Callithrix jacchus: one gene and its partners. The protein of the gene in region 1 purifies or fractionates together with the protein of each later gene. This does not show direct contact. Links are inferred from orthologs where the notes say so. Each region holds a gene or a part of one and is shown in the gene's direction. Other genes may lie near its edges.

Region 1 (10,412 bases):
TGGGATTACAGGAGTGAGCCACTGCGCCCAGCACATTTTTTCTTTTTTTTTTTTTAGACCGAGTTTCATTCTTTTCGCCCAGGCTGAATTGCAATGGCATGATCTCAGGTCACCACAACCTCCGCCTCCTGGGTTCAAGTGATCCTCCTGCCTCAGCCTCCTGAGGAGCTGGGATTATAAGCGCCGCCATTTCGCCCGTCTAATATTTGTATTTTTGTAGATACAGGGCTTCGCCGCGTTGGCCAGGCTGGTCTTGAACTCCTGACCTCAGGTGATCGACCGGCCTCGATCTCCCAAAGTGCTGGGATTACAGGCGTGAGCCATCGCGCCCGGCCCGTCCCTCATTAATGTTTGTGGCTCAGATCCATCCTATTACCCGTCTCAAACCTCAAGGAATGTTTGAGTGGAGTTGACATGGGCATGAAAAGAGATACGAATAGTCAATCTCCAGGGGAACTACAACTTCCATCAGGCACTACTTCGGCGGAACGGGAAACGATGTGGGGGCGTGGCTCCTCCGCCCAAGTAGCGCGGGAAACTACAACTCCCAGGATAACGCGAGACCGCAGCAGAACGAAAGGAGTGGCTGAACCCGGCTGGCGACCCGACCTGGCCGAAACCACCCCGACAGCCTCCAGAAAGGGGCGTGGCCGAAAAATGTAGGGGCGTGGCCACGTGGGCATGAGGAAGAAGTAACCTGTTGAATCTATTTCTCCTCCCCACCCTTACTGCTTTTTCCCATAAGGGAGAAGCTGCAGACAAATAAGCCTCTTCAAAAAAAGAGGTAAAGGGAGGTAGACAAGAGGCAGTGGCGGAGGCTGGCTACTGCATTCCGTAGGAGGCGCCAACAGTTACTTTTTACCTGCTGAGTCCGGTGAACCAGTTCATGGGGGCGGGGACCTGCATATGAGGAAAGGGCCAGGATAGAGCAGGTATTTATTTGTTCATTTTGAGAATTAAATTTAGAACCCATCATCCACAGACCCATTTGTAGACTGTGTCTGGGGCCCTCGCTCGGCCTCAAAAGGAGGAAAGAACGGAGGCGACTTTTTGCACCAAAGGAAAGGCCCGTCTCGGCTACCTGCCTTCCGTGTTTGCCCTGGCCTAAAGCGATAGAACCAAATGGCTTCCGTGGTCTGGGGAAGTGCCCCCTGGTGGGGCCCGCCGCCCCCGGCCCCAGCTCGGCCGCTCACAGACATCGACTTCTGCTCCGGGGCGCAGCTGCAGGAATTGACCCAGCTGATCCAGGAGCTGGGTGTGCAGGAGAGCTGGAGTGACGGGCCCAAGCCGGGAGCCGACCTCCTCCGGGCCAAGGACTTTGTCTTCTCTTTTCTTGGTAAGTCACCCTACTTGCCTTTGGGAGCTCACAGCTCCCAACCTCACAACCACCCAGCCCTGGCTTTGGTCGACGCCTTCATGTTCCCTTCACTTTTTTCAGGTCTAGTTCACCGTCGGGACCCTCGCCTTCCTCCCCAGGCAGAGCTCTTGCTGCTTCGTGGTGGGATTCGCGAGGGCTCCCTGGATCTGGGGCATGCACCCCTGGGTCCCTACGCCCGGGGACCTCACTACGATGCCGGCTTCACACTCCTAGTGCCCCTGTTTTCGCTGGACGGCACTGAACTGCAACTGGACCTGGAATCTGGTTACACACAGGTCCGCCTCCCAGAACTGGTATGCGGAACCCCAATCCGGGAGATGTGGCAGGATTGCTTAGGACCCCCAGTCCCAGGAGGATGTGATTTTATCCACCCAACCGAGAGCAAAGAAAGTCCCAAGGACTCGCAAAGCTCTGTAGACCAGCGGCACAGCCACGTCACTGAGCACGTGGCGCCAGTGTCTTTGGAAAAATCACCTAGTGACGTTTCAGCGTCCGAGTCTCCACAGCATGACGTCATCGACTTTGGCTCCACAGCACCTTTGAAAACACCGAGTAGTGACGTCACCAAGGCAGCCGTCGAAAGCCCAGTCCCAAAGCCGTCGGACGCTCGGGATGCATGGCCCACATTATGCCCCGCCCAGGTGGCTGCCTGGTTCTTTGCTACGCTGGCGGCAGTCGCCGAGTCTCTGATTCCGGTCCCCGGTGCTCCACGTCTGGTGCATGCAGCTCGCCACGCGGGTTTCACCACCATCCTCCTGGCTACCCCTGAGCCCCCTCGCCACCTCCTGCTCTTCGACCTGATCCCAGTGGTGTCCGTGGCCGGCTGGCCCGAGGGTGCTCGGAGCCACTCTTGGGCTGGCCCACTGGCCTCCGAGTCGGCTTCCTTCTACCTGGTGCCGGGTGGCGGCACCGAGCGGCCATGCGCCTCCGCCTGGCAGCTCTGTTTCGCCCGCCAGGAGCTGGCGCTCAAAGCGCGCATACCAGCGCCGCTGCTGCAGGCGCACGCGGCGGCCCAGGCGCTACTGCGCCCGCTGGTGGCCGGGACGCGGGCGGCGGCGCCCTACCTCCTGCGGACGCTGCTGTACTGGGCGTGCGAGCGGCTGCCTGCGCTCTACCTGGCGCGGCCGGAAAACGCAGGCGCCTGCTGCCTCGGGCTGCTGGACGAGCTTGGCCGAGTGCTCGAGGCTGGAACGTTGCCTCACTATTTTCTGAGCGGCCGAGAGCTCCGTACGGGTGACGGCTCCGCTGCGCTGCTCCGGGCGTTGGCCCGGCTCCGCGGGGACCCTGCCAGGGCCCTCCGCGCAGCGGTGGAGGAGGCCAAGGTGGCCCGCAAGGGGGGCGGTTTGGCGGGCGTGGGGGGCGGGGCCCATTAAAGACGCTGCTCCTACTAGTGGAAGTGACTCCGTGGGCGAGCGGGACCTGGGGGGCACTGTTGCCTTCTTGCCTGGGGGGCTGACTGAGTGCCCTGGGCCTGAAGTGTCCCTTCTAGAAGGCCTCCTCAACGGTTCCTCCTCTACGCCCCCAGCTCGGCCCCCGGCACGGGTCGCCACGATCCAGCCTCGCTACTCTCCACTTCTGCGGCCAGCACTCTGTCCAGGGGCAGCTTCCAGAAACTCTCTCTCCCCAGTTCTTTTGGTCATTTCTCTTACGGACCAATAGAAATGGGAGAAACATATTTGCTGACCAAATGGGGAAAGGAGTTATGGGGACCAGGAGATCAATTTGGCTCATACAAAGGCAGAGATACTAAGGAGGCAGGATTTCGCCCGAGGCTGGATCTCACCACTACCCCTCCTCCATCTCTCCAGTTCTTCCCCGACTTTCCTCGTGCGGTTCTGTCCTCACTGACATCCTGGCCAGTAGGGTCCCTCTCCATTCTCCCAGCGTCCGCCATTCCATCTCCCTTAAGCCCAACCTCTCTTTCCCATCCAGGGTTGTGTTCTGGAAGTCCTCTTGTCCCTCCTCCTCTGAAGCCTGAGGTGTGCGGCCTTGCCTCGGCTTTGCCTGCTTGTAAGACACAGTCCCCACTCTCTGCCTCCAAGGAACCCTGGGGTTCCTCCAGCCCGGCTTCACCCTCCTATTTCCCAGCGTCTCCGCCCCCTGCCCCGCCCCCGGGCCGGCTCTCCGAGGAGGGGGAACTGCTGTCGCCGCCGCCGCCTCAGCTTCTCACAGCCGCTGCCGCCGCTCTGCCTGGTCCAGCCACCGGCCCAGTGCCCTGACTTCGCCGGATCGGGGAGCTCTGCAGAGACACCCTCACTCCTTGAGGGTCCGGGACGCCTAGCCGGGCGTGGGGGGAAGCTCTGTTTGCGGGGGACAGGGAGGGAGGAGCCTGGAGCCGAAGCCAGCGCCACCCGCCGCCGGATCAACAGGACAGGACAGGTTGAGGGGCGTCGGGGAAAGGAAGAGGGGGTGCTATAGGCAATCCCGGGGAGGACGAGGAAGCCCTGTCGCAGGAAGCTCTGATCCGCTCTGACTTGTAGGGGGCCTGTTCACATTTGGGAACTGGTGACAACGTGGGTGCACTCCTCTCTTGGGAGGGCTGGTTAGATTGGAGGGTGTGGGATCTAAACTGCACCAGCTGTCCCCAATAAAATTTAAGGGGCAGCCAGGGCATAGAAAAACATAACACGGATGTGCCTCATTTTGAGGTGGCAGAAGACACCTCAAACTACCTGGTGTATCCACTAGGAAGGGTGGATTTGGAGGTGACTTCAAAAGGAGTGGAGGGTTTGAAGGTGAAGAAAGGGTCTTCGCCGCTAGAATTCCAGGCTACTAGACATGGGGGGACTTGGTGAAAAAGGTATTATCCAGCCAGAGGGTCTGGGAGCCCCGTCTTACTGAACCTGGGCAACCTGGATATTCTGAGATATTTTGGGGGGATTTCAGTGAAAAAAGTGGGGGATCCCCTCCGCTTAGAGTGTAGCAAGGGAAAAAACACCAAGGTTGGTTTCCTTCCTGACACTGGCAGTGCCCCAGTAGGGGTGAGGTGATCAGTACCCCCAAAGCTAAAGTCCCACACCCTGTAGATTACAAGAGTGGATTTGGTAGGAGTGTGCCCCCAAAATACAGTGGAAAGGTGTCTGGAGATATTTAAACCACGTCTTGGAAATTTGGGGGGGCTTGGTTGGCTTTGGGACAGGTGAAGTGGGGACAAACACTGGAGAGGAGGGAAAGGGGACGTTTTCAATACAAGGCAAAACTCGAGGGTGGGATCAACTGAGGACTGCTTAGGCTGCTGGATCTGGTGGAGCTAGCACCGGGCCCACGGGTGGAAGCTGGCTGCTGTGGAGGGGGGAACCTGGGGGTAGTCTGGGGCTTCTCCTCAGGCCCTGTGGGTGGGGCAGCAAGTAGGGGCCTGAGCGTCAAGAGCATGCCCTAGTGAGCGGGCTCCTCTGGGGGAGTCCAGCGCGCTCCGGGTGCCCGCCAGTTTGGGGGTGTCTCCTCCCGGGGCGCCATGGCGGCGCTGGCCAGTAGCTTGATCCGGCAGAAGCGGGAGGTCCGCGAGCCCGGGGGCAACCGGCCGGTGTCGGCGCAGCGGCGCGTGTGTCCCCGCGGCACCAAATCCCTTTGCCAGAAGCAGCTCCTCATCCTGCTGTCCAAGGTGCGACTGTGCGGGGGGCGGCCCGCGCGGCCGGACGGCGGCCCGGGTGAGTGCGGCTGGGGCGGGGTCTCCCGGTCAGATGTTTCACTGCCTGGGATGTTGAGGCCAGGGACTTTGAAGAATAGGGCCCGGCTGAGGGGCTCCCCGAAAGTGGAAGGGGGTGGGCCAGGACAACAAAGTCCCTGCCAGATTGTGCCTCAGTTTCCCCTTTTGTCCATAACCCGGAGTCACCTTATTTTCGAGGTCAAGGAGAAGGCTTGAGGGGCTAAGTCTGGCGAAAGCCTCGCAGTTCCTGCTCGTCCCCCCTCCCCAACACAGCAGTCCCCACCCCCACCGTCCTCCGCCTACGTGCCGGTTCTCGCGATTCTTTCAATCTGGAGCAGAGGGGCCTGGGGGGTTCCAGACGCCTGGGTCACCCCAAGGGTTTCTGCAGTTTCAGCTCCCCCCCCCCCCGCCACCCCCGCCCACCCCGGTTCTCCCGCTCCTCCACGCCTGGGCTCGGTTCTTCCTGGTCGAGCTCTCTTGGCTACGAGCCAATCTCCCCAGCTCTCCCTCGGGTGTCCTTGCAGCTACCTCGCCAGCCAGCCCTCTATGCGTCCGCCTCCCGTGACCTGCGCTTCAAGAACGGAGCTGGGCACCCCCTCCCATCACCCCCGCGCCACTCCGAAATCGGGTCCCGTAGGCTCAGGGGACCCTACGCTGGGTGGAACTCAGACACAGTTCACCGCTAGAGGTGGGCGCCGAGTCCTGGGGGTCGTACCACCTACAAGGGGGGGGACAGGGAAGTCGGCAGAGAGCAATTGATGGGGTAGGAGAGTTGTGAGAGTTTCAGTGTGGTCCCGTCCATGTACGACAGTCAGGGAGTCCCTCTGGCCCTGCTCCCGCCTGCTCCCAACTCCCCTAAGGGCAGCTCCCTCACGCCCTCCTCCCCTCGCCACCGGCTGCCCATAGTGGTACAGTCCGCAGCCCACCCTCTGAGTGGGACCGGGCCCCCACGTGATTCAGCCTGTCTCTCCGTCTCAGCCCCCACCCCCCATATCCTTGGTAAGGTCCCCCTACCCCAGGCGGGTTGCCTGGCCAAAAGCGAGAGGCTGAGCCTCAGGGAGAACTGGGCGCCCGCGAGCTAGCAGACTGACAGACAGACAGACAGACAGAGACAGATGGGTCAGTGTCAGACAGTCCGGCTCTGGGCCAAGGCAAGGCTCTCGCCAAGCTAGCGGCAGCCGCAGCAGATGCTGAGTCAGCGTCAGGCCCAGTCCCACCCCCACTCCTGAGGGAGAGCCCCTACCCTGTGGTCAACTTGCTGCTGCCACTGTCCCCCACCTTCGAAAACACACTGCCCCTTCAGTGCCCCTGTGGTTTCCCTCTGTCCCCTACCTATTGATATCTCTCTCCCCTTCCTCCTCCTCCTCTCCTCCCCGCTTCTGGTTGAGCTGTAGGGTAGGAATTAAGCCATTTAAATACATTTCGATAAATTAAACTGAAAGCTCCTGGTTATATGAAACAGAAGGGACCCACACCAGCTTTCCCAGGAGTTAAAGAGAGGTGAGAGAGAGCGTGCTTGGAGGGTAAGAGGGCTGGGGCCCTGGGACCCTCTTCCTTCCTTTCATTCTCCTTTCTTCCCTCTGATCCTGCCAAGTATAGGTATGTTGCTGGGAACAGAGATGTCATTTTCAAAGATGAATGTCTCTCTCTCCAGAGCCTCAGCTCAAAGGCATCGTCACCAAACTGTTCTGCCGCCAGGGTTTCTACCTCCAGGCAAATCCCGACGGGAGCATCCAGGGCACCCCAGAGGATACCAGCTCCTTCAGTGAGAGGGGAAGCCGGCCGCTGGGTGGGAAGGGGGAGAATGGGGACAGCAGATGACACTCCTGTTCCCCTTTCAGCTTCTGTTGCCACTGGTCTGTCTTCCCGACCCCTAAGGGAAAAAGTGGAACTGTGATGAGGGGAGCTCAGGTGAGGGTCAGAGCCTGGGTATTGATGCTCCCTCTCTCTAACCCCCAGCCCACTTCAACCTGATCCCTGTGGGGCTCCGTGTGGTCACCATCCAGAGTGCCAAGCTGGGTCACTACATGGCCATGAACGCTGAGGGACTGCTCTACAGTTCGGTGAGACAATGAGGCTGAGTGGCTGGGGAATACTGGGGACTCCCCTTCCTCAACTTGTCCCTTGAGGGAAGGACATTTTGCAGTCTGGGACTCCTGCCTCCAGCTTTTACTGATGGCCTATCATCACTGCTCATTCCAGAGCAGCTTCTCTAGGGTCTCTCCAATCCCCACGCCTTGCACCCCCCCAACACAGCCCCAGGTTCTTTGAATGTCCAACTCTTTCTGCCTTGTAGGGCCCCTACTTCTCATCCCACCTCCTCCAGACTTTGTTATGACTCACTTCCCTAGAGTCATCCAGGACAGGGGTTAGTGAGAGGCTGGGGGTACAGTGGAGAGAAGGAATCTTATTCCAAGACCCCTAAAAGTCTAGTTTTCTTTCTTTTTTTTTTTTTTAATAGTGACAGGGTCTTGCTATGTTGGCCAGGCTGGTCTCAAACTCCTGACCTCAGGTGATCCACCCACCTCAGCCTCCCAAAGTGCTGGGATTACAGGCTTGAGCCATGGTTCCCAGCTCAGAGCCTAGTTCTTAACCCTCAAGGGCCCACCAGGCCTCTTTCTTGTCCTTCCTTTGCTCCCAGGTCCTGCGTGGACTCAGAAGTTGTCCTCCTGCTCCCGCAAAAAACATATGGATTACATCCTGGCTTGTGCATTCCACGGGCTCCCTTCTGCCCAGTGATGTGTCTTTTTGTCTCTTTGTCTTTATTTGCCTTTCTGGGTCTTTGTCTCCTTAGCCACATTTCACAGCTGAGTGTCGCTTTAAGGAGTGCGTCTTTGAGAATTACTACATCTTGTACGCCTCTGCTCTCTACCGCCAGCGTCGTTCTGGCCGGGCCTGGTACCTCGGCCTGGACAAGGAGGGCCGGGTCATGAAGGGAAACCGAGTTAAGAAGACCAAGGCAGCTGCCCACTTTCTGCCCAAGCTCCTGGAGGGTGGGTATAGATTTAAGAAAATGTAGGCCACAAGAGAGGGTGTTGACCTTGACATGGACATTTAGGGGCAGACAGCTCAGGCTACAAGTGATAAGAGGACCCTGTTATGGCAGATCAAGCCAGGAAGGCTTTGCCCTTTGGGGGTTTGGGGCACTCTCCTGTGGGTTGGGGTTCTGGGAGGGTGAGTGTATGGGAAGGGAACCCTTTCAGAGCACTGGTTCTGCCTGGGTCCCTCTGTGCCTAACTCTCCTTCACTGCTCCTCTCTTTCTCCCCTTCACAGTGGCCATGTACCGGGAGCCTTCTCTCCACAGTGTCCCTGAGACCTCCCCTTCCAGTCCCCCTGCCCCCTGAAATGTAGTCCCTGGACTGGAGGTTCCCTGCACTCCCAGTGAGCCAGCCACCACCATAGCCTGTCTCCCAGTCCTGCTCTCACCCCTGCTGCCACACACATGCCCTGAGCAGCCAGGTCTCACCAGCTGCTCCATCCTGAGGGAGCCTAGGGGCAAGTTGTGACTTCCGGGGCTGCTGAGACCCTTAGATTGTTGGGCCTAGGAGGGAGTCAGAGAGAGGGATGTCTGAAGATGGTCCTGGCTGATCACTTCTTTCTTTCCACACTCATACAACCCCCAGGTCTTTTCCTGAGATGGTGCTGGGAGTTCCCAAATGGACAGCCAGGGCATAACGCTCCCCACCCCGGCTCAGCCAGTTCCTGGAGTCCTGTGCCCCTTTTCATTGCCACTGAGCCATTTATAGATTCACTGGAGTTCAGGATTCATGTGTCCTTCTTTCCCTCCTCTACCTTATACCTTGGTCTGGACATGTTCTGGAACACTGGACACCCTAGCCAGGGCCACTGCTGTACTAGGGCCTGTGCTGAAAGCCAAGCATGCTGCCAGGCTTTGCTCTGGATCAATCAGGAGTCTGCCCTTGGTTTGGATGGACCCCTGGTTTCCAAGTAGAAAGTGGCTAGATTTGAGCTTTGTCTAGCTGTTGGCTTTGGCCTGAACTGGAACCAGTCTCAGATGACCACAGGTTTAACCTTCTTATCCCAGAGACACCCAATTCTAGAGCATTATGGAGCCATACTTCCTCCTGGATCCCAGCTCTAGAACATAGACCATGACTCCCAGCCCTTTTACCCAGGATGGAACTCGGGCCTGGATAGCCATATTATTACTCTAAGTTCTAGCCCCACCCTCCCACCTTCTTGAATGATTACCTATTACGGATGAGTTCTGGAAAAGACCCAGCTATGATTCATAAAAACAGTTCTAGATGAATCAAGAACCACTTCTTGTTTTTCCTAGAGAATTCTCTAAAAATATGATTCTTCCATATAGAATGCTAAGCTTATTTTTACATGCAGTTTCTAGCTCCTTCAACCCAGCTGAGGTCGTGCCAGGGAGACAGAGTCTGGAGAAGGGCAGAGGAATTTTGGAAGGATCCCTGGCTCATAGTAGGGAAGCTGGGATCTGGGAGGGGTCAACATTATGGCATGATTGAACCTACATCTGTGTTGGGTGGACATAAATACTTAGCTACCTCAGCAGGAATCCCTTCCAGATCCCCTTTAAAGCTGAGGTCTTTAGAGTAATGCATCCTGGATAAAAAGGACAAATGGATGCAGCCTTGACCCTCCCAGTTAGGAGACCCTGATTCAGCAATAAGTTTCACCCTTCTGTTCTATAGGTCAGGCCAAGGAGGGTGAAGGCCTCTTGCACTCCAGACCTCATATGCCCCGACAGCTTCTAATTGAATAGAACTTGCTTTACCTTACAGCTTAGAACCTTAGCTGGGTTTTAGGTACCCAAAAAGGGCCTGTCTAAAATTTTTGGAAAAACGTGGAGCGCCAGGGGCAGCCTGGAAAAGACTGGGAACCTGCTAGTGATCTAGGAGGGAGACTTCCATAGCTTAAGACTTGGGTAGGGGCCGGGCGTGGTGGCTCATGCCTGTAATCCTAGCACTTTGGGAGGCCGAGGTGGGTGGATCACCTGAGGTCAGGAGTTCAAGACCAGCCTGGCCATCATGGTGAAACCCCATCTTTAAAAAATAAATAAATAAATAAAAGACTTGGGTAGGCTGTGGAGGCCCTAAGAGAGGTACTAGGGCTTCAAGGCAGGTCACTCTTCCTTAGGCTGTTCTACTTCTGGTTTGTTGCAAGAGGAGTGGATGCCCCCTCACTCACACAAATCCCTGCTCAGGCTCTATCCAACTCCGGCACTGCTCCCAGGGGATCGGGTCTCCACTCCATGCTTTCTCAATTAAAGACGATTTATACAACTGAAGTGCTGTCTGTCATCTGTTGGTGGCGGGCTTGGCAGTTGCTCCAGGCAGGATCAAGTCTCAGGGGTGGGGCGGGTGGGCTGGCGGCTGCCCCCAGCAACAGGTGCACAT
Region 2 (9,630 bases), about 58 Mb from region 1:
CTGGCCCCAAATCCCACAGGGTCTCTTCTTTGATGATTCCTACGGCTTCTACCCAGGCCAGGTGCTCATTGGCCCCGCCAAGATCTTCTCCAGCGTCCAATGGCTGTCAGGTGTCAAGCCCGTGCTCAGTACCAAGAGCAAGTTCCGAGTGGTGGTGGAAGAGGTGGGTCTGGGCCTAGGGGCAGGAGACAGAGTCCTTGACCTCCACGCCCTGGAGCTGAGCTGCTGCCCCTTTCCTGCCTGCTCTGAGGATTGAGCCCTGCTCTTCAGCTTCTGGACCCTGTTGATCTCAAAGGGCTTTAAGGAAAAGGGGAACCCAAGCTCTGGTCATAGTGACCAAAAGACAGATGTCCCCAGCCCAGCCTGAGCAAGGTGGGAGGGTGGTGGGTGGCTACCAGTGGTCCCTGGCTGGTATGAGCAGTGATACTGGTCCTGGGTGTTGCATTGGGGCCGTGGTTACAGTCAGGGCCTACTCTGATTTGTCTGTACTTGGTGCTGCACTAGGAAGATCAGTTTCCTCCTCTGGAGGTCAAGTGGGCCCTGGGCAGCTGGCTAAAGAGTGCTGTCAGAGCCTGCCCTGACTGGCGTGTCCCACCTGCCATCCCCAGGTGCAGGTTGTAGAGCTGAAAGTTACATGGATTACCAAGAGTTTCTGTCCAGGGGGCACGGATAGCGTCAGCCCCCCACCCTCTGTCATCACCCAGGAAAACCTAGGCAGGTGAGCATGCCCTGCTGCCAGCAACCCAGGGGCACCCATGGGACAGGGCTCTGGGCCCTGGCCACAGATACCTGGGGAGGCTGGAGAACACTGCTGGCCTCCCAAGAGTTCAGCCTGGCTCACCCCCACTTCTCCCTCAACCAGGGTGAAGCGTCTCGGATGCTTTGACCATGCTCAGCGGCAGCTTGGGGAGCGCTGTCTGTATGTCTTCCCAGCCAAGGTAGAGCCAGCCAAGATTGCCTGGGAATGTCCAGAAAAAAACTGCGCCCAGGGGGAGGGCTCTATGGCCAAGAAGGTATGTCCTTGGGGTTGGGGGTTGGTGGGCATTTGAGGAACTGGCCTTGAGCCATTTCCATGGCCAAAAAGGACAGTCTGTGCTTTAGGCCTTGGTGGGCAGCAGCCCTGATGACCCTTGCCGGCTACTCAGGTGTATGCAGCTATCATCCTCACAGCTCTGTCATCTCTGCTTCGCCCTTGCAGGTGAAGCGTCTATTGAAGAAGCAGGTTGTGCGGATCATGTCATGCTCCCCGGACACCCAGTGTTCCAGGGACCATTCCATGGAAGACCCAGACAAGAAGGGGGAAGCCAAAGCCAAGGGTGAAGCGGACTCTGCCAGCCCTGAGGAGACACCTGATGGCTCTGCCAGCCCAGTGGAGATGCAGGATGAGGGCGTAGAGGAGCCCCAGGAGGCAGGAGATCAGCTGCCCCCGTTCCTGCTAAAAGAAGGCAGAGACGACAGGCTGCACTCGGCAGAGCAGGATGCAGATGACGAGGCTGCCGATGACACGGATGACACCAGCTCAGTGACCTCCTCCGCCAGCTCCACCACTTCCTCCCAGAGTGGCAGCGGCACGAGTCGCAAAAAGAGCATCCCTTTGTCCATCAAAAATTTGAAGCGCAAACACAAGAGGAAGAAGAATAAAATCACCCGAGACTTCAAGCCAGGGGACAGGTAAACTGAGAGTTGTGCCCCTCCCCCATGGCATCAGCATGAAGTCAGGCAGAGTGCATGCCCCCTCAGCTGCATGCCTATGCTTGCACACACACTGCACACCTTGTAGTGGCTCTAGTGCCTGGGGTAGGCCCTGGTGGAAAGCAGAGACTTAGGAATGGTACAGAGGGTGGAATGGTGGTGGTGGCCTTAAGCTTGGCCTTCTGGGGCCACATTTGCCTGAGCTCTCCCAAGTGGGTCCCTTTCTCAGAATGCATGGCCTTGGAAGCCTGGATTAGCTTCCTGTGCACCAGAGAATCATCCTGCAGGCCTGGGACTCAGAGTTTCATGTTACCGAGCCTGCAGGGATGGGAAGGGACAGAACGATTCTCTGCCCTTTCCCTGGGGTGGCGGTGAGGGAGGGGGGTGTTTTTGCATGTCGCTGACTGGCCTGCACCTGGCAGGGTGGCAGTGGAGGTGGTGACCACGATGACCTCAGCTGACGTGATGTGGCAGGATGGCTCTGTGGAATGCAACATCCGCTCCAATGACCTCTTCCCTGTGCACCACCTGGACAACAACGAGTTCTGCCCCGGAGACTTCGTGGTAGATAAGCGAGGTAGTGCCAGCTCTGGAAGGGCAGCCAGCGGGGTGGTCACCGACGAGGGCCCAGGTTGGGGCTTGGGGAGAACAGAAAGGGATCTGGGGTCAGAGCTAAAATGAGGTCGGGAAGGGGACTGCCCTCATGAATTGGGCTCTCCATTTCCAAGACGGGGGAAGGTCAGGGTTCTGCACCCTGCACTGGCTTGAGATGTGGGCTCCTTAGCCTGGGTCCCTTAGCTAGTTGCGTCCCTTCCTCTGGTTCCCTAGTCCAGAGCTGTCCAGACCCTGCTGTCTATGGTGTGGTACAGTCTGGCGACCACATCGGTCGTACCTGCATGGTGAAGTGGTTCAAGCTGCGGCCAAGTGGGGACGACGTGGAGGTGTGTGCAGCCCCTACTGCTTTCTTCAGCTGGGCTCTGGGGTTGGGTGTAGGCCCCTAGCTCATGATGGCCTGTCCTATGCCACAGCTAATTGGAGAAGAGGAAGATGTGAGTGTTTACGACATTGCTGACCACCCTGACTTTAGGTTCCGTACAACTGACATCGTTATCCGCATCGGCAATACTGAGGACGGGGCTCCTCACAAGGAGGATGAGGTAGACCTTCAAATTCAAGTTCTAGATCGCTGCTCCCTGCCCTATGCAGCAGCTGCAGTCCCTGATGCTGCCACCAGGTGGCTCTAGGAGACAAGACCTGAAAGTCCTCTGGCTAGTTGTTACTAGGAGAGCAGCTGCCCCAAAGTCAAGCTGCTGCTCAGCCCTAGCAGCTGCAGAAGGACTTGTTTCCCTGACTCTCTGCCGGTGTCAGGCTTCTTGAGCCGCTGCTGGTTACGTTTACCAGAGGAGCTAAGTTCCTTGTCACAAGCTGGGTGGGCATGATGTCAGTCACTGCAGAGCACAGGAGGGCTGGGGAGCTGGGGCTGGAGCTGGGCTCCCTGACTCTGTCCCCTTTGCCCAGCAGCCATCAGTAGGCCAGGTGGCCCGTGTGGATGTCAGCAGCAAGGTGGAGGTGGTGTGGGCTGACAACTCAAAGACCATCATCCTGCCCCAGGTGAGGCTCTGGCAAGTCCCCCTGCTGGGCTTGTGACTATGGCAGCTGGGGCTGGGGCCACAGTCAGGTAGCCTAAAGGTGGGCTCTCGGGTCTTCCTGGTGAGATCTCAGTGAAAACCTGAGGAGAAAGGCAGTCATTCCACACAGCCCTGGTTGCGGGGTTGGGGTCAGCCCACAGGTGGCCCACCAGCCTCACTTCTCCCATCCATCACTGGGTGCATGTAGATTTTCACAAACCTCCAGGATTTTCCTGGATTATCACTATGCTAAGAAGAATGTAAGTTCCTTCCTAAAAGGAGATGGAGACTTTCCTATCACCCTTTCTAGAAAGCTCTAACAGCAAAGGAGAGAAAGGAGAGAGCTGGCCCCATTCTAGCCCCAGCTGCTGGGTCCTGAGCTGAAGGGCCACACGGGCTCTCCTTCCCTCGCCTCCCTGGCTGGAGCTGCATGGCCCAACTCTCCTCTCCTGGCTCCTGCATAGGGGGTGGGGATGGGGCAGAGCAGGGGCAGGAATGGCTTGCCCCATCACCTTAATGGTCATTCCAGGGAAGGCAGCAGGATGTGCTGGCCCTTCCGCACATACTCTCCTAACGTATGTTCCCAGCTCCCAGTGCAGCCCCACATGGGCCTCCCTGCCTGCATCGTTAGCTGACCCTGAGCTTTTCAGGTGTGGGGCTGGGCCTGCCAAGGTTGCCTGCCTTCTTGGGCAGATGCTGACCAAGTGTACAGAGTGGGAGGGGAGGCTGAAACAGACCACTGGCTGGGGCTTTGGGTCCAGCTTGGGGGTGGGACAGGTGGAGGGCCTCTCCCAGAGACCTAGGGACTGCAAAGTCCAGAGCACAGGGTGGGGAAAGAGTGGAATGAGGTTGCCAAGGCCTCATGAGCCCAGTCCCCATCAGCTGTGCAGATCAGGGATCCCCAGAGCTCTTCCTTTGTGGTAGGGAGGTAACTTCCTGTCTGCATTACCCTGGCACTTCCCTTCTGCCCCCAGCACTTGTACAACATCGAATCTGAGATTGAGGAGTCAGACTATGATTCGGTAGAAGGCAGCACCAGTGGGGCATCCTCGGATGAGTGGGAAGATGACAGTGACAGCTGGGAGACGGACAATGGGCTGGTAGAGGATGAGCACCCCAAGATAGAGGAGCCCCCCATCCCACCCACGGAGCAGCCTGTGGCCCCTGAGGAGGACAAGGGAGTAGTGATCAGTGAAGAGGCAGCCACAGCCGCTGTCCAGGGGGCTGTGGCCATGGCTACCCCCATGGCTGGGCTGATGGAGAAGGCTGGCAAGGACGGGCCTCCCAAGAGCTTCCGGGAGTTGAAAGAGGCCATCAAGATCCTGGAGAGCCTCAAGAACATGACCGTGGAGCAGCTGCTGACGGGCTCGCCCACCTCTCCCACTGTGGAGCCTGAGAAGCCAACTCGGGAGAAGAAGTTTCTGGATGACATAAAGAAGCTACAGGAAAACCTCAAGAAAACCCTGGACAATGTGGCCATTGCAGAGGAGGAGAAAATGGAGGCAGTGCCCGACGTAGAGCGCAAGGAGGACAAGCCCGAGGGGCAGTCACCTGTGAAGGCCGAGTGGCCCAGTGAGACCCCGGTGCTCTGTCAGCAGTGTGGTGGCAAGCCTGGCGTCACCTTCACCAGCGCCAAGGGCGAGGTCTTCTCCGTGCTGGAGTTTGCACCCTGTGAGTCAGCCTTTGCCCAGTCTTCACCTTCCCCTGCCTTCTCGGGGCTCCTGTTTGTGTCACCAGATCTGGGTGCGGTGGTTAGGTGGTTAGTCCTCACTGGCCCCCAACTTCTGGCCCAGGGCAAACAGTTTCCCTGTATGGTTACAGTGCTGAGGCCAGCGAAGGCGAGTGGGAAGTCTGTGGGTGCGCTCACCTATCCAGCCAGGTTTGCAGATGGAGAGCTCCAGGGCCTCTCCATGAGTGACTGACTGCTCTCTTTCCTCTTCTAGCAAATCATTCTTTTAAGAAAATTGAGTTCCAGCCTCCAGAAGCTAAGAAGTTCTTCAGCACAGTTCGGAAGGAGATGGCACTGCTAGCTACCTCACTGCCTGAGGGCATCATGGTCAAGACTTTTGAAGATAGAATGGCAAGTAGGCTTGGCATGGGCAGGTGCAGATGTGCTGTGTGGGTGCCCAGTGCCCAAGAGGCCACCAGCCTTGGGTCCTCAAAGCTCCAGGGCTGACTGGCACCTGTGAGGACACCCACCCACCCACCTTTTACAGGGGCGGTCACAGGCACAGCCAGGTGAGGGCTGGCGGAGAGCCATGTGTCCAGGCCAGATGGTTTTCTTTTCTCCCTTCTTTAAAAAATGAGTTTGAAATTAATTATATTATGAGTACTCCTCAAGCCTGCTCTTCTTTTTGGAAAAATTAGAACATTACAGATCCTTTGAGTGGAAATAGAAGAGCTAAAGTTGCCTTTGACCGGCTCTGACTTCCCTTTTTTCCTGAATCATAGGCCTCTTCCCACACCCAGAGGACTGCTGGAAGTTTAGTGGGTCTCCTTCCAAATGGATGACCACGGATTACCTTTTTTATGTATTTTTACATTTTTTATACATTGAAAAAGTATTTCGACATGTTCATGTATCACCATGAGTACAGAGTGTTTTGTATGATTTGTTTACACCGAGTATTTGCCTTTTGTTGTTGTTGTTGTTGGAGATGGAGTCTCACTCTGTCGCCACGCTGGAGTGCAGTGGCCTGATCTCAACTCACTACAGCCTTTGCCTCCCGGGTTCAAGTGATTCTCCTGCCTCAGCCTCCCAAGTGGCTGGGACTACAGGCCCGTGCCACCATGCTCAGCTAATTTTTGTATTTTTGGTAGAGACGGGGTTTCACCATGTTGGCCAGGATTATCTCAGTCTCTTGACCTTGTGATCTGCCTGCCTCGGCCTCCCAAAGTTCTGGGATTACAGGTGTGAGCCACTGCGCCCAGCCCAGAGTATGTCATTGTATATATATCATCTCTAATTTGCTCAAGACCTACCCATATTGATTTGTAATGATCTAGTTTCTTCCTTTTTACCTACAAAATAGGACAACAACATGTGGCCACACCACATTCCATTTTCCCACTCTTCTGTTTGTGGACGGGGCCTAGTGTCTCTGAGTCATCTTTACTGAGGCAGCATGAGTGCCTCCTCTGGGAACAGGCAAGCCTATTTGCCTGCCACCTTGTTTACTCAGCAATCCCTACTGGGCCTGTGCTTCAAGCCAGGCATCATGCTAGACTCTGAATCTGAGTCTGAGGCCCCAGTTCTGGCCCTGTCCTGGAAGGAAGAGGGCAAAGAAAAGGAGTAGGGATCCTGAGAGCTGCCAAGAGGGGCGCTGTTGAGATGGGCCCGGAGCAGCCCCTCCTGGAACAGGGCTAGGCAGAGTCCTAAGTCCAGTGCTGCTTGAGATTCTTAATAACACTTTTGTTTTTTGCTTGGGTTATAGTAAAATTCCTTTTGAAAATTCTAGCTTTTCTCAGCTCTGCTGAGGGAAAACAGGAACAGTATTTTTTTGGTTTGTTCTGTTTTCCCAAAATCTCACTCAGGAGAAGAAAAGTAGTGTGTTCTCTGGAGGCTCCCAGGGTGGCACCAATAAGAGCATGCATGAGAGGTTCCCTCACCCCAGCTGGCGCTCTGCCCTTGTTGCTTCTCAGCTCATCACCGACCTCGCCCATTGCCCTGGCAGTTGAGATCACACACACACACGTGTACGCACATGCACACAAATAGATGCGCAGATTCCAGATGTCTGTGGAACGGTGGTCTCCCAACATCTCCCCTGGATCAAACCCTCACTGCCAGCTTCTGGTGGAGAGATCATCCCTAATTCCCCAGGCCCCACCATCCTGGAACTGCCTTTCAGCTTGGAACTGTTTGTACTACTTGCCTTGTGGGAGATAAGGGTTGGGGCAAGTGTTTAGAGGAGTCTTTTTTTGTTTTGTCTTTAAAAGACAAGGTTTCATTCTGTCGCCCAGGCTGGAGTGCAGTGGTGTGATCATAGCTCACTGCAGCCTCAACTTCCTGGACTCAAGTGATCCTTCCACTTTGAGTAGCTAGGATTACAAGTGTGCACCACCATGCCAAACTAATTTTGTATTTTTTGTAGAGATAGGGTCTCACTATATTGCCCAGGCTGGTCTTGAACTCCTGGCCTCAAGCAGTCCTCCCACTTTGGCCTCACAAAAGTGCTGGGATTATAGGTATAAGCTACCACATCTGACTGAGGAATACAATTTTAAAGTAATGATTTATGAGGAAAACCACCTGATATGATAAAAATTCATTTAGAATATTTCTCTTAGCCAGGCTTCAAAGATTCCAGGTAAGGGCTGGGCACAGTGGCTCATGCCTATAAACCCAGCACTTTGGGAGACTGAGCCAGGCGGATTGAGCCTGGGCTCACTTGAGCCCAGGAGTTTTAGACCAACCTAGGCAACATAGTGAGACCCTGTCTCTACAAAAAATAAATCAGCCAGGCATGGTGGCACACACTGTAGTGCCAGCTACTTGGGAGGCTGCAGTGAGCCATTATTGCACTAGTGCACTCCAGCCTGGGCGACAGAACAAGACCCTGTCTCCAAAAAAAAAAAGAAAAAAGAAAGATTCGAGGCAATTTGGCACAGAGGTATTTGTGCCTAGCTTTTCCACTGCTGGTGGCATCTGGAGTCCCAGCTGCCCTTCCCGCTTCATTCACACAGTGTCCTGGGAAAGTGCAGATGCAGATACCACATGCAGGACACCCCCCCTTCCAACCTGCCAACCTCAGCCTCCCTCCCTCCCTACATAGGACCTCTTCTCAGCCCTCATCAAGGGCCCCACTCGAACCCCCTACGAGGATGGCCTCTACTTGTTTGACATTCAGCTCCCCAACATCTACCCAGCTGTGCCCCCCCACTTCTGCTACCTCTCCCAGTGCAGTGGCCGCCTGAACCCCAACCTGTATGACAATGGGAAGGTGTGCGTCAGCCTCCTGGGCACCTGGATTGGAAAGGTGAGTGTAGTGCCAGGCCCCCAGCCAAGAAAGAGGAAGAGCCAGTGGGGGATAGGGGCTGGGGGAACAGAATTGATGGTGTCCTGTGTGTTTCAGGGGACAGAGAGGTGGACGAGCAAGTCCAGCCTTCTCCAGGTGCTCATCTCCATCCAAGGTACGGTTGGGCTGAAGCAGGGGTGCGGACAGGGAGGGCCAGTGGAGGGAAGTGACTGATGGGTCCCTGGAGGGTGGAGGGTAGGCCTGCTCCATGGGCTTCTCCCACCCACTGTGGGAAGATGTCGCTCTCCCACAGGTCTGATCCTGGTGAACGAACCATACTACAATGAAGCCGGCTTCGACAGTGACCGGGGCCTGCAGGAAGGCTATGAGAACAGTCGCTGCTACAATGAGATGGCGCTGATCCGTGTGGTGCAGTCCATGACCCAGCTGGTGCGGCGGCCCCCTGAGGTCTTTGAGCAGGAAATCAGGCAACACTTTAGCACTGGTGGCTGGCGGCTGGTGAACCGCATCGAGTCCTGGCTAGAAACCCATGCCCTGCTGGAGAGGGCCCAGGCTTTGCCTAACGGGGTCCCCAAGGCCAGCTGCTCTCCAGAGCCCCCAGCTATAGCCGAGCTCTCAGACTCCGGCCAACAAGAACCTGAGGATGGAGGGCCAGCCCCAGGAGAGGCCTCCCAGGGCTCAGACTCGGAGGGCGGTGCCCAGGGCCCAGCCTCAGCTAGCAGGGACCACACAGACCAGACTTCGGAGACCGCAGCAGACGCATCAGTGCCGCCCAGTGTCAAACCAAAGAAGCGGAGAAAGAGCTACCGGAGCTTCTTACCTGAGAAGAGTGGCTACCCTGACATCGGCTTCCCCCTCTTCCCACTTTCCAAGGGTTTCATCAAGAGCATCCGGGGTGTCCTGACGCAGTTCCGGGCTGCCCTGCTAGAGGCAGGCATGCCGGAATGCACAGAGGACAAGTAGGTACCAGGCACAGAGGAAGGAGCATCACCGTGGGAGAGGCCAGCCGCCGTCTGCTCACTCCCCCCGGAATCACCTTCTTCCCATGCCCCTCTGTCCCCACTGCAGGCCCTCACTGCCCTCTTCTCCCCAAGGTGAGTTTGATGCTGAAGTACAAGAAGTGTGCTGAGATGCCGCCGTTTATTCTGAAGCGAGATTTCAACAGGCGGGTCCCCCGTGGCAAAGAAAATCGGAACCTTGTTGCTGATTTTCCAGTTGTCACCCCAGCAGAATGTCCCGGCACTTGCTCCCTTGCTGTCCCTTCTCAGGTCAGAGGCGGGTATTCCAGGGCCTGCCGCTGGGCTCTCTGGACCGGTGCCCTGCAGACCCGC
Region 3 (10,385 bases), on another chromosome or scaffold:
CTGTCTTTCATGAGGAAGCAGAGTTCAGAAAAGGTCCAGGATGCCAGTGGCCTAGTCAGTAGCAGAGGGAGGATTCGAGCCCACATCTCCGCCCAGTTCTCCCGCTTCCTCACACCACACCACGCAGCCTCACCGTGAGTCAGCTCTCACGAGTTCCAGACACAGGACCTCAGATCCTCTAGCGCCAAAAGGTGCCTCCTGATCCTGGGGCTTGTTTACAGCCAGTACAGCTGGCCCCACTACTTACATTTTTGCTCCCTTTTCTCTAGCAGGACCTGGTACTATGACCTATGTTTGCCTGTTTTGCCTGAAAGCCATCCCCACACCCACTCTGAAACCACCTCCCCCCATTCCATGATATTGCACTAATTGGAAGCAACTCAAATACCCCACAGTAGGAAACAGTTAAGCAAACTCGTAAAGCAATAAGACAGAATGCTTGGGAAACTCGGACGATAACAGGTATGTCAATGTTCTCTGCATGGGTCATGTGTTTTTGATGTGCTGTAATTTGATCAAAGCAGAACACAAAAGGACATGAAACTACCTATTACAGGTATGTAAAAATGAGTTTCTGCAAATTGAGAAGAACCAGGAGTGAACTTAACAAGATGAAAAGGTATTTTTTTAATCTTCACGGGTTTTTCTTTTCTGTAATGTTCGAAATGATATTAAAGAGTAAATGATCATAATAAATATGATAATAATAAGCAGCGTGGGAGACAGAGAAGGAGGAATGTTTCCTGCTGGAACTGGAGAAGGGGAAGGAGAAGAGGCTGCAAAGAGGGAGGGAGGGAGCTCGGTGGGCAGCAGGAGCCAGGAAGCCTGAAGACCCTCACCCACAGCCACAGACTTGCAACAGGGAGCCCAGCCTCCTCTGGGGGTCCCTCAGGGCCAGTCAGATAGGTGACCAGCCTGAAGTGGTCCTCCAGGGCATCTTTCACAACAATGACAATGTCATGGTGCCTCCTAGAGCTGTGCAAGGTAGCAATTCTGGGACAGAAAGAAGACTGGAGCTGGGGAGGGTTTGCTCACCACCCTCTTCACCTGTTCTGGACTTCCATCGTTACCCAAGATCTCTGCAGTTTTTCTGCACTTTCATTCCAGAGGGCTAATGAGCACCTTGGCTGACAGCAGATGAAAGGCCTTCAGGAGGAGCACAGCCTCCCCCTAGTGGGGAGGCTGACTGGCAGGGAGCCGGCAGTTCCAAAACGTGCCAACCTGGGGCTCCCCTGAGACTCAGGGACAGTGCCCTCCACAGACACATCAAACTCAGCATGTCCCAAGCTGACTCATTCTCTCTCGGCAGCGCCCCCTGCCACGCCTCCAGCCATATCTGCTTCTCCTCCTGTGTTCCCAAGCATGGCAGACATCGCCACCACCCACCTAGGGCTTACCAGGCCCTGAGGATCTGGCTGTGGCGTGAGAGCTCACTCCACCATGCTTTGCACCCTGTGCCCCACCCACACTGCAATATTTACAGTTGCCATAATATGCCAAGCTGTTTCCATCACCCTGTCTATTCCCAGACTGTTTCTTCAGCCTGGAGAATCTTCCCTCCCTTGCCCAGCTGCTTATCTGTTAAGACTCAGCTCCAGCAGCATCTCCCTCAGTGCAGCCCTCCACTGCACCCCACCCCCATCACCTGTCCCCACATACAGATCAGCACCTCAGCTTCTTTGTCTCTGTAGTCCCGACTGACACCTAGCCCTGCTCCTGGCATTTTCAGCACTCAATATATTTATTTTGTAAATAAAAGAACAAATGACTGAATGTGGAACATAAATTTGGGGGTGGACAAAGAATGAATCTGACTAACCAGACCAAGACCACGTGTGGTAGCCCAATGCCACTACATTTCTGGTAACAGTATTTCCTGATTCACCGCTGCCCTTAGACCACTCCTTTTTAGTGGGTCCTCTCTGGTCTCCAGGCCCTTGGAGACTTCCCACCACCGCACACAGCAGGTGCATCTGTCTTTGGTCCCTGCTGTTCTCCAACTGGCCTGTAGAGGGGTCTCTCACCCGTGTGTGGACTGCGCTGTTCAGGGCAGTGAGCTTGCCGGGAGAGTTGCTGAGTCAGGTTGGGTGGGTGGGCTGAAGACTAGTCATCTCTTGGTATTCATGAGAAGCAATCGCCTTAGCTGCACTGTGTGAAGCTATCTTAGGACTGGCTTTGGGGATGGGGGACAGAGAGCAATGATTCTCAGGAATATTACATTGTCACACTCCCTGGCTGGGTGAGCTCTTTGATCTCCAACACACACTTGGTGGGAGGGATGTCAGCCACCCATGTCCCTTGCAGTGGCTGGTTTCCAAGAATATCTGGGGCCACTGACCTCACTTGAACCACATCGGCCTAATGCTTAGGGTAGGAGCGCTGCCCTTCCCCTCTCCAGTCTAAGCTGCCTGGCTGTCCTACGTCAGCTCATCAACCTCCCCTCAGGCCAGCTGCTCAGGGGAGCTGCTCAGGAGACCTGCTGGTCTCCTTCTTGGCCTAGACTGCTAAGGTGCTGCATGCTCTGGGCCTGGCCCTGTCTGTCATCCTCAGCTGCAGCAGCAACAGCAGGCAACACTGTGAGCCTGGTGCTAGGGCAAACCTGGTCCAGGAGGAGTAAAGGAAAGACTGAACTTCAATCTCCAGGAAGCTTACAGTCTAGATGCTTAATGCACAGAGGAACTGGGGACTGAGAGACAAAATGTGTAGACAAAGCGAGTTCTAAAAAATCAAATCCAAAAGACAGACATACTGATGCTTCTCTTAAAAAAAAGATTATCTTAAGTCATATGTTTTTCCGTTCTAAGGACTCAAGATTTCATTCCTGTTTCCAACGGGCTCTGCCTCGGGTTTTTGAGCAGGCATCCCTGATCCCTGGGCTCTGACAACAGTTTGGGCAAACCCACCAGGATGAAAGCCCCTATGAGCCTTATGTCCAGAGAGTCCTTAGTGCACCAGGTGTGGCTTTTGACCCCCAGCTGAAAGATGCCAGTCTGGCACTATCATGGATGAGCCTGGTATTCTGGTCTCCGTCTCCCTTCCCCTTCTGCTACAGTGATGCCCCTGACAGGGAAGTCTGAGTGCTCAAAAAAGTAAGCAGACGAAAGAATTCTAACAGTTCAAGACCAGGATCTGCAAAGGGTGTATTCTTCCAGGTGCTTCTACAGACCTCTTCAAACAGTCTCATGAGGCTAGGTGGCTGGAACACGGGCTACCCTGACTAAGACTTTTAAGGCCCTAGAGGTGAGTATTTCACACTTTCCCCAGCCCTGAACACAAATCAGTGGGGAAAATGTCATTTCAAACCGCAACTTCCTTCTTGAAAGGGTGGACCCTGTTAAAAACCTGGGAGGTTTTTGGGTGTTAAAAGGTGGTCCTCGGGAGAAATTTAGGGAAAGGGCACTGGGAAGACCGGAGTTGCTCAGCACAGCAAAGGAGAATCTGGTTTCCCAGAGTCCATAAAGGAAGGAAGGGCAAGGTGCAGGGATGGGAAGGAAGGAACAGGAGGAAGCTAGATTAGATGGCAATGGGCTAGGGAGTGTGATGGGGTCTTGTGGCCATTGAGAAATCCCCAGTGGTGAGACAGGCAAAATAACTTTTCAGAACATTTCAGAAATGTGATCTTAAATCATTTGCTATGTGATGTAATCTCTCCCCTGCGACCCACAAACCTTTATTAAACGTTTTACTACATGTTACAACCTTATTTTTGTAGTTGCTTTAAAACGGGGTGGGGGTTGAAAGGAGAAGGGGCTGAATTGACCCCAGGAGCTACAGAAACAGTCACAAGACCAGAATAGTGAATAAAATGCCAGACGAGGCAAAAAACTAGAGCCAGAGGTGACCGTGAAAATGTAAGTCCTCCCAGTAATTCACAGAAATCCCGGGGAGGGCACTGGACTTTCCACAGGACATGGTAATTGGAGCCAATGCCATTTGAATCTCAGAGGACAAGCTACCTCAGCTGACATTAGGTTACAGGCAGGCTTTGCCTCTCCAGCTGAACTAAGCCTTGCAAAACATAAAATGTGTCACATGCCCTTTTGCCATCTGGGCCTTAGCACAGGGACTGCACATAGTGGGCCCAGTAAAAGGGTGTGAACGGTCCATGAATGTCCTGGATGCCCACGGAGAGCTGGAAGAGTCTAATGTTTTGGTGGAGCAAGGACCGGAAAGCCATTCTGGCTGGGGACTTCTCCATCAGCCCTCCTGGGCTCCACCCTCATATCCATCAGCCCTATCCCAATGACGGCTTAAAATCAGCTCTGCAGCCTGAGGGTTTTGTAAACAGGCAAGGCCCAGGAGGAGATGGTGTTGGAGAAAGTCACAAAGCGTTGTGCAGGAACCAGACTATTCTGAGTCAGTTTTGCCCCCTATAAAGTCCAAGAGGCAGGCCTCTTGGGAAGGAGTTTTAATCCAAAGGACCTGGGGCTGGATCAATGAGTGAGTGGAATGCCTCAAGCCCCAGACTTTTCCTAGGAATGGCTGTAGGATGTGTCGTGTGGGGCTCTGGTCTTTGCTCTCAAACACCCATTTTATGCCCCTCTGAGGCTTCGCCAGGAGCCCCGCAGCCCAAAGACCCCTCCGTTCTGCAACATCCTTGCATGAACGACGCGCTGCTCCCAGGGCTGATGGCGCCACCTGGTGGCACAAAGGGTCCCGCTCACCCTGAGAACTTCGCTCTCAAGCGGGCGAGAAGGAGCGGCTTCTGTGCTCCAGCCCAGCGTGGTGACGTCACGACAGAGTGCCGTGTCTCCCCGCCTCTTCCCTCTCCCGGGAGCTGCCAGTACTTGACGTGGCGTCACCGCCCTCTACCCTCGCTTTGCGTGCGTGTTTGCGTGCAGCGGAGGTGGCGGCGCGGGCAGGTCGGAGCTCGGAGCTGCTGCTTCTGGTTCTCTGGTGGCCGCGATCGCTGTCCGGCTGCCTTGGGCGGCCAAGCAGACGAGGCGCGGACCACAGCACCTCAGAAGCCGACGCAGCTCGACGCAGGGCCCGGCGGGAGGGTGGGCGATCGCGTGTTGGAGGGTGCCGCGCGGGCAGGCGGGCGGACGCCGGAGGGGGAAAGAGGCGGGGGCGGCGGGTCAGCCGCGGGCCGGGCCGGCCGGGGGATGTCGATGCCTGACGCGATGCCGCTGCCCGGGGTCGGGGAGGAGCTGAAGCAGGCCAAGGAGATCGAGGACGCCGAGAAGTACTCCTTCATGGCCACCGTCACCAAGGCGCCCAAGAAGGTGCGGGGGCTCTGGGTGGCGGCGGGGGCTCCGGCTCCGGCCTCGCGGAAGGGACGCGAGCAAACCCCAGGCTCTGGCTAGTTCGGGACCTCTGAGGCTGGGGTTGGGGTGACTGGAGGCGGCGGAGGTGATGTAGGGGGTGGCGGCCGTGCGGCCCCAGGCATATCCCGGGCTGAAAAGGCCGCCCCTGACCTCGCTTTCCTTTGTCCCTCGGCCCAAGTCCTCTGGGATCGTTTTGAAACCCGACAGGGCCAGGCCTTAAATTTGTGGCTGACTTTTCCTGGATGAAGGGCCTCGAAGTCAAGAGTGGGAGGGGGTGAACCAACTCAGCTGACCCTTGTGACCAGCCCAGGGACATGGGGTGCTCAGAAAATCTCACTTCAGGTGAGTGGGTAAATCGGGCAGAATTTCCGTCAAATCTTTGGGAGCAGTGGCCGGTTTATCCAACAACTGCGTGATAGCTGGGAGCCAAGAGAAAAGAATGCGTGAAGCTAGCTCTAATATACAGGTGAAAGCAACGAGGGTAAAAGGAAAGTGAAAATCTATGATTTTCACTTTCTACAGCCTCCCGTTACTTCGAAATATGTAAGAAATTGACATTTGGAGGTTGGTGACAGGAGACACTGTCATGGATACAGGTGGATCCTAGTCATGTGAATAGATCACTTAGGCATCCCTGGAGAAGGGAACTTGGGTGGGTTGGAGTGGTGGGTGGTAAGGAACGATTGCTCATTCTTGACTGTACTTTTGAGGCAGAACAAGTTTGATCTATTGTGCAGTGGGTTGAGCTCAAAGGACACCCTTCAAACTCTCTCATAAATGGCAACCTTTGGAGATTGTAGTCTAACTAGCTCTGAGTGGTGGAATTGGGATCCTTACTGCTTTCTGATCATTTACTGCCAACCATGTCTTGATTTTCCATACACCTGGCACCCAGTTAGCAGTAGAAGAGAACCTTTATAAAGAGGTGACCTTCCTGAAGCCAATGAGAACCCAGATAAATGTCTCCCTTCTGTATAAAGACGGAGTCTTAAAGCCGCCTCTGCCTGCAGCGTTTAATGGGATGCAGGGCTGAACAAAGCAAGGGTTGCAGGAATAGTTAAGTCCTTGAGGCTTCAACTAGTTAAGCCGTCTTAAGCAGGAGAGATGGCTTTTTTTTTTTTTTTAAGGGAATTAACCTGCAACTCCAGAAATCAAATGCAAGATTTAAAAAGACAAGTCGCCATTGTATGCTTTAGCTCTTTTTTCTCACAAAATTAAGAATTTATTAATTCCTTTAAAAGATTGTGGAAGATCCCTCGACTCTGAGAAATCTGACTAACTTTAGTGCTGTCAGTTCAGTTGGTAGAGTGAACTTTTGCAGTCTACACTATTCTTTGGAGAAACAGTCACGGTCCTTATAAGCAAAATGATTGAGGGTAGGACCTCAGAGGAGTTAGAGGAAAGAATGGGAAAGCCCCAGTTCCCGAATTTTCCAGACTCTGGCATCTTTGCTCTTATTTGCCTTTATGTTAGTAAATCTGTATTCTTGAAAGTACCACTGTTGATAAGACAAAGTCTATATTGTAGATTGTTAAACTCATTAAGGCGGAGATTCTTGTTCACCTTTGTATCCAGTGTGCCTAGCTCTGTACCCAGCATATAGTAGGTACTCAAATATTAATTGCCCACCTGGCTAACTAGTAACTGAGATGTCCATATGGCTATCTACCAGGAATAACTATCCCTTTTCCTCTCTTCTTCCCAGGAGGAATATTGCTAATGTGCGCTATTGTCAGGCCAAGTGCTAATGATTTTAGACTTATATTCCATTAGCTAAAAGAAGCAGGCCCTGCCAGGAATGTGGGAAGACCCTGTTTTAAGATTCCATTTGCCGGTAAATGTGTCCCACTGTGTTTCTTATTAATCTTTCTCTTCTGAGTTTTATTGTTTAGCATTTACGTAGGACTTTGTAATAAAGTTCTTTATGATGACTAATTACCCTTCCCCTAGTGATGATAAAAGGCATTTATTTAGTTAATGGATCAGTTGAAGACTAGTCAAGGTCATGTAGCAAGTCCTAGGCCATCTGTTTTTCAAAACTTCTGCTGAATTGAACATTATGACTTGTCACTTTTGTACTTCTGCCATGTGTTGATAACGTGAGAAAGCATGGGTAAAGTAAGAGGGGAAAAAAGTAACTTGATGTGGTATTAATGCTGTGACAACAAGACCTCTTCAAGCGGTGCAGTCCTTCACCTGTGGGAATTCTACCCTGGCTCTAGACCAGTAATCCTTGGATCGTTCTGAACCTCTGAGGCCCCTGAGGAATAGAGGATGTTCTTGATGCCAGAGGATATGGGTTACTTCAGGGTGACCTTGTTGGTCCTCAATTAGATCAGATCCCAGTGTCGCTTTCTGGCCAGGTTTTATTCCTGTTGTTTGTTTTGTTTGAGGTAGGAGTGGATGTCCATCAATTAAAAGCATAAGTATCTAGATCCTCCAGCAATACACATGACTTACTCAGTTGCGGGTGCCATGGCGTCTATCACACTGCTCCTGAACAAAATGGGGCTTGTTGGTTTGACTGAAGATTTGAGATGTGTGGGCGTCCAGAAGTCAACTAAAGGGTTGACTTTATAGTTGAGCAAATTAATTAGCTTTTGTACATTCATCTCCTCATCTGCCAAATAAGTGCCTACTTTTCTGGAACAGGCGGAGATAGAGGCATGCTGGGGAGTTAAGATAGCAAGCGTAATTTTTTAAAAGTCTGTTCGCATATTTATATTCTTCAGTGGACATTTGAAGTGGCTTATAACACAGGATACTTATTTTATATAAAAGGAAGTAAAAACCATAGAAAGAATGAAAAAAATTGTTAACCTCAGAGCTAAGTTAGTTGATGAGGTTGATCACCACATGCAACTTTAAACTCTTAGCAGCTAGAGGATAAGAGGAATCGCAGAGTTTCCTTAACAGGCATGGGAAAGAATGCATGTCAGTTCCTCAAGAGGACAACTTTTCCTGACACAGAGTTCTAAAAGAAATTTTCACAGGATTATATTAATAGCTATAGTATGATTCACATTGTAAGGCTAATTCACGATTGTCACTGGTGATTTCAGATGGTCTAGCTAGGAAAGATGGTATAGCTCGAGGTAAGAGAAGGAATCCTTGAGTTGTAGACTAATTGTACATTGTACCACAACTGAAGAAGATCCCTGTTTAATGTTGGCCGTTATCAGTCAAACCAAGTAAGTCATCTAGTTCCCCATAACCACTGGTTATTCTCTTTTTCTGCTCTTTTGTGTAACAGGAGTGATAACTGTCCTTGGACCTTTGGAAGTTGACATTGTGTCAAGTTGATTCTTTTTTCACAGTGTAAACCCAAATCTCCAACTTGTTGAGACCTCTTACAGTAAGCATGTTTCTCTGCAAGGCCTATCAGAACATTTGCTGTTCTCTGGACTTCTGAACATTAAGGGCACTCTCCAGAGTGATCCATTAAACATTTGACCTAGGATCTGTGTAGTCAGACCTTTACCGCCAGCAAAATTGGGGAAAGAGAACAGCACAAAAGAAACTGCTTTCGTTTACAGGATATTCTTTATTCGAATGAACCTCTGTAGTACTGATTCATCAAAAGGGTCAGCTGAGACTTAGGAAGCACAGCAAGTAGAGCCCCAGTGGGTACAGCTTGGGTGTTAACCCGATAGGTAGAATCCAGGATTCTCCTTTTCTCATCAGTTATCTTATGGTTAATTTTTGGTACAGTTTTATGAATTTATACCAGGACTTGTCAGAATCACTGAAAGGAGATTTGATAAGTTGGCATTTCCTGTCTTCTTCACATCATTAGTATCTCTTGATTCTGTTAGAGTGGCTGCTGCTTTCATAGCAGTCTTTGAAACAGAAGTCAGGGTGTAAGCAGATCCTCTTTTTAAGATTTCTCCACAGATATTGATTACCTCTCTTTTTCTTACATGGTTTAGTTAGTTACATTCTGGTTTCCAAATTACTTTGTTCCAAATTCCTTTAAACATTTAGCTTGTAACAGAAAGAAATCTGTTAGATTTCTAGATCAGTGGTTGTCTAGATCTTTTGCTGGCAAGGTTACAAATGTATACTTTTTCTTTTATCAAGAGTGTGCCATTTGGATCCAGAGTGTTTTACCCAATATAAGATTCTTTTTTTAAAATGTATTTTTATTCTTTATAGAGATGGGGAAATCCCTGTGTTGCCCAGGCTGGTCTCGAACTCCTGGGCTCAAGCAATCTTCCTACCTCCCGCCCACCCTGGATATAGTATTCCTGGAAAGTTGTCTATAAAGGATATTTTGTAACATAGAATCATGCAGGTCTTCAGTTGCCTGTGACTCTTAGCAAGTTTACTCTGCCACTCCAAGTAGTTAACGATCTGTAAATAAGTACTTTAATGCCCTCTTGGGGTTGTTTTAAAGGAATTGGCGAGTAAAGGAGAATCATTTATACCTACCTGTTTCTCAAGTTTGGGAATGTGAGTACTGCATTTTTGTAAGGAATGTCCATCCTGACTATACTGGACATATAATTCATAGTAATTCAGAACACATGCTAATGAGGTACATCAGGAGCATTCCTGTCATGTGTGAAGGACAACATATAAGCACACCCAGAGTTTTTTCCAGCCTGTAATCTGAGAATCCCAAGTTGAAGACAAATTCTTACCACAAATTTTCCTTTGGTTATTGTCAATACTATCGGTGCCTGTTGTGTAGTCAGCAGTTAAAAATTCACCCAGAATTGCAGTTGCCTGTCCTCTTCTGATTCCATGTTTTTTTTCACTTAAGTAGTTCTTTTCCCACTGTTGCTTGGCTGTTACATAAGACCCCTTTAACTTCCCGTTTCTGTTCCTAAAACTGAGTAGTAGTGCAATATAAGTTAAGTACTTGATTTTTGGAGTCAGTTTTACCTTTAATCTCTACCATCTAATAGTTGTGTGACCTTGGACAAGTGACTTAGCCTGCCAGAGTGTCCAGTTTCTCGTCTATAAAATGGAGAACAGTGATCGTGCCACCTATATAGTTGGTTGAGAGGATTAGCATTTAGTAAATATTAATTAGTTTTTGTAACTAGAGTGACCATATATTGTAGTTTGCCTGGTGCAGTTCTTGTTTATACCTGTTTTCCTAGCATACTGTCC

The links.
Region 2: the proteins of FGF11 (region 1) and UBE2O purify together in Homo sapiens (affinity purification with mass spectrometry; 3 studies listed by BioGRID and IntAct, with this or other methods). This does not show direct contact. The link is inferred for Callithrix jacchus from reciprocal best matches to the Homo sapiens genes FGF11 and UBE2O.
Region 3: the proteins of FGF11 (region 1) and AHCYL1 purify together in Homo sapiens (affinity purification with mass spectrometry; 3 studies listed by BioGRID and IntAct, with this or other methods). This does not show direct contact. The link is inferred for Callithrix jacchus from reciprocal best matches to the Homo sapiens genes FGF11 and AHCYL1.

Annotation. Positions count from the first base shown.
Region 1 is NC_133506.1:73,910,223-73,920,634, forward strand, and holds FGF11 (fibroblast growth factor 11), read left to right. Parts: upstream 1-5,732; 5' UTR 5,733-5,824; coding exon 5,825-6,023; intron 6,024-6,678; coding exon 6,679-6,789; intron 6,790-6,983; coding exon 6,984-7,087; intron 7,088-7,818; coding exon 7,819-8,017; intron 8,018-8,298; coding exon 8,299-8,369; 3' UTR 8,370-10,303; downstream 10,304-10,412. Other genes in the region: TMEM102 (transmembrane protein 102), read left to right, coding at 1,123-1,336, 1,439-2,751.
Region 2 is NC_133506.1:132,285,604-132,295,233, reverse strand, and holds part of UBE2O ((E3-independent) E2 ubiquitin-conjugating enzyme), read left to right. Parts: intron 1-19; coding exon 20-163; intron 164-608; coding exon 609-718; intron 719-862; coding exon 863-1,013; intron 1,014-1,198; coding exon 1,199-1,671; intron 1,672-2,114; coding exon 2,115-2,269; intron 2,270-2,520; coding exon 2,521-2,633; intron 2,634-2,720; coding exon 2,721-2,849; intron 2,850-3,210; coding exon 3,211-3,303; intron 3,304-4,294; coding exon 4,295-4,991; intron 4,992-5,263; coding exon 5,264-5,400; intron 5,401-8,095; coding exon 8,096-8,299; intron 8,300-8,395; coding exon 8,396-8,453; intron 8,454-8,591; coding exon 8,592-9,262; 3' UTR 9,263-9,630. UniProt on the Homo sapiens protein: E2/E3 hybrid ubiquitin-protein ligase that displays both E2 and E3 ligase activities and mediates monoubiquitination of target proteins. Negatively regulates TRAF6-mediated NF-kappa-B activation independently of its E2 activity.
Region 3 is NC_133508.1:147,828,228-147,838,612, forward strand, and holds the start of AHCYL1 (S-adenosylhomocysteine hydrolase-like protein 1), read left to right. Parts: upstream 1-4,816; 5' UTR 4,817-5,105; coding exon 5,106-5,225; exon of another isoform or gene 5,226-5,609; intron 5,610-10,385. UniProt on the Homo sapiens protein: Multifaceted cellular regulator which coordinates several essential cellular functions including regulation of epithelial HCO3(-) and fluid secretion, mRNA processing and DNA replication.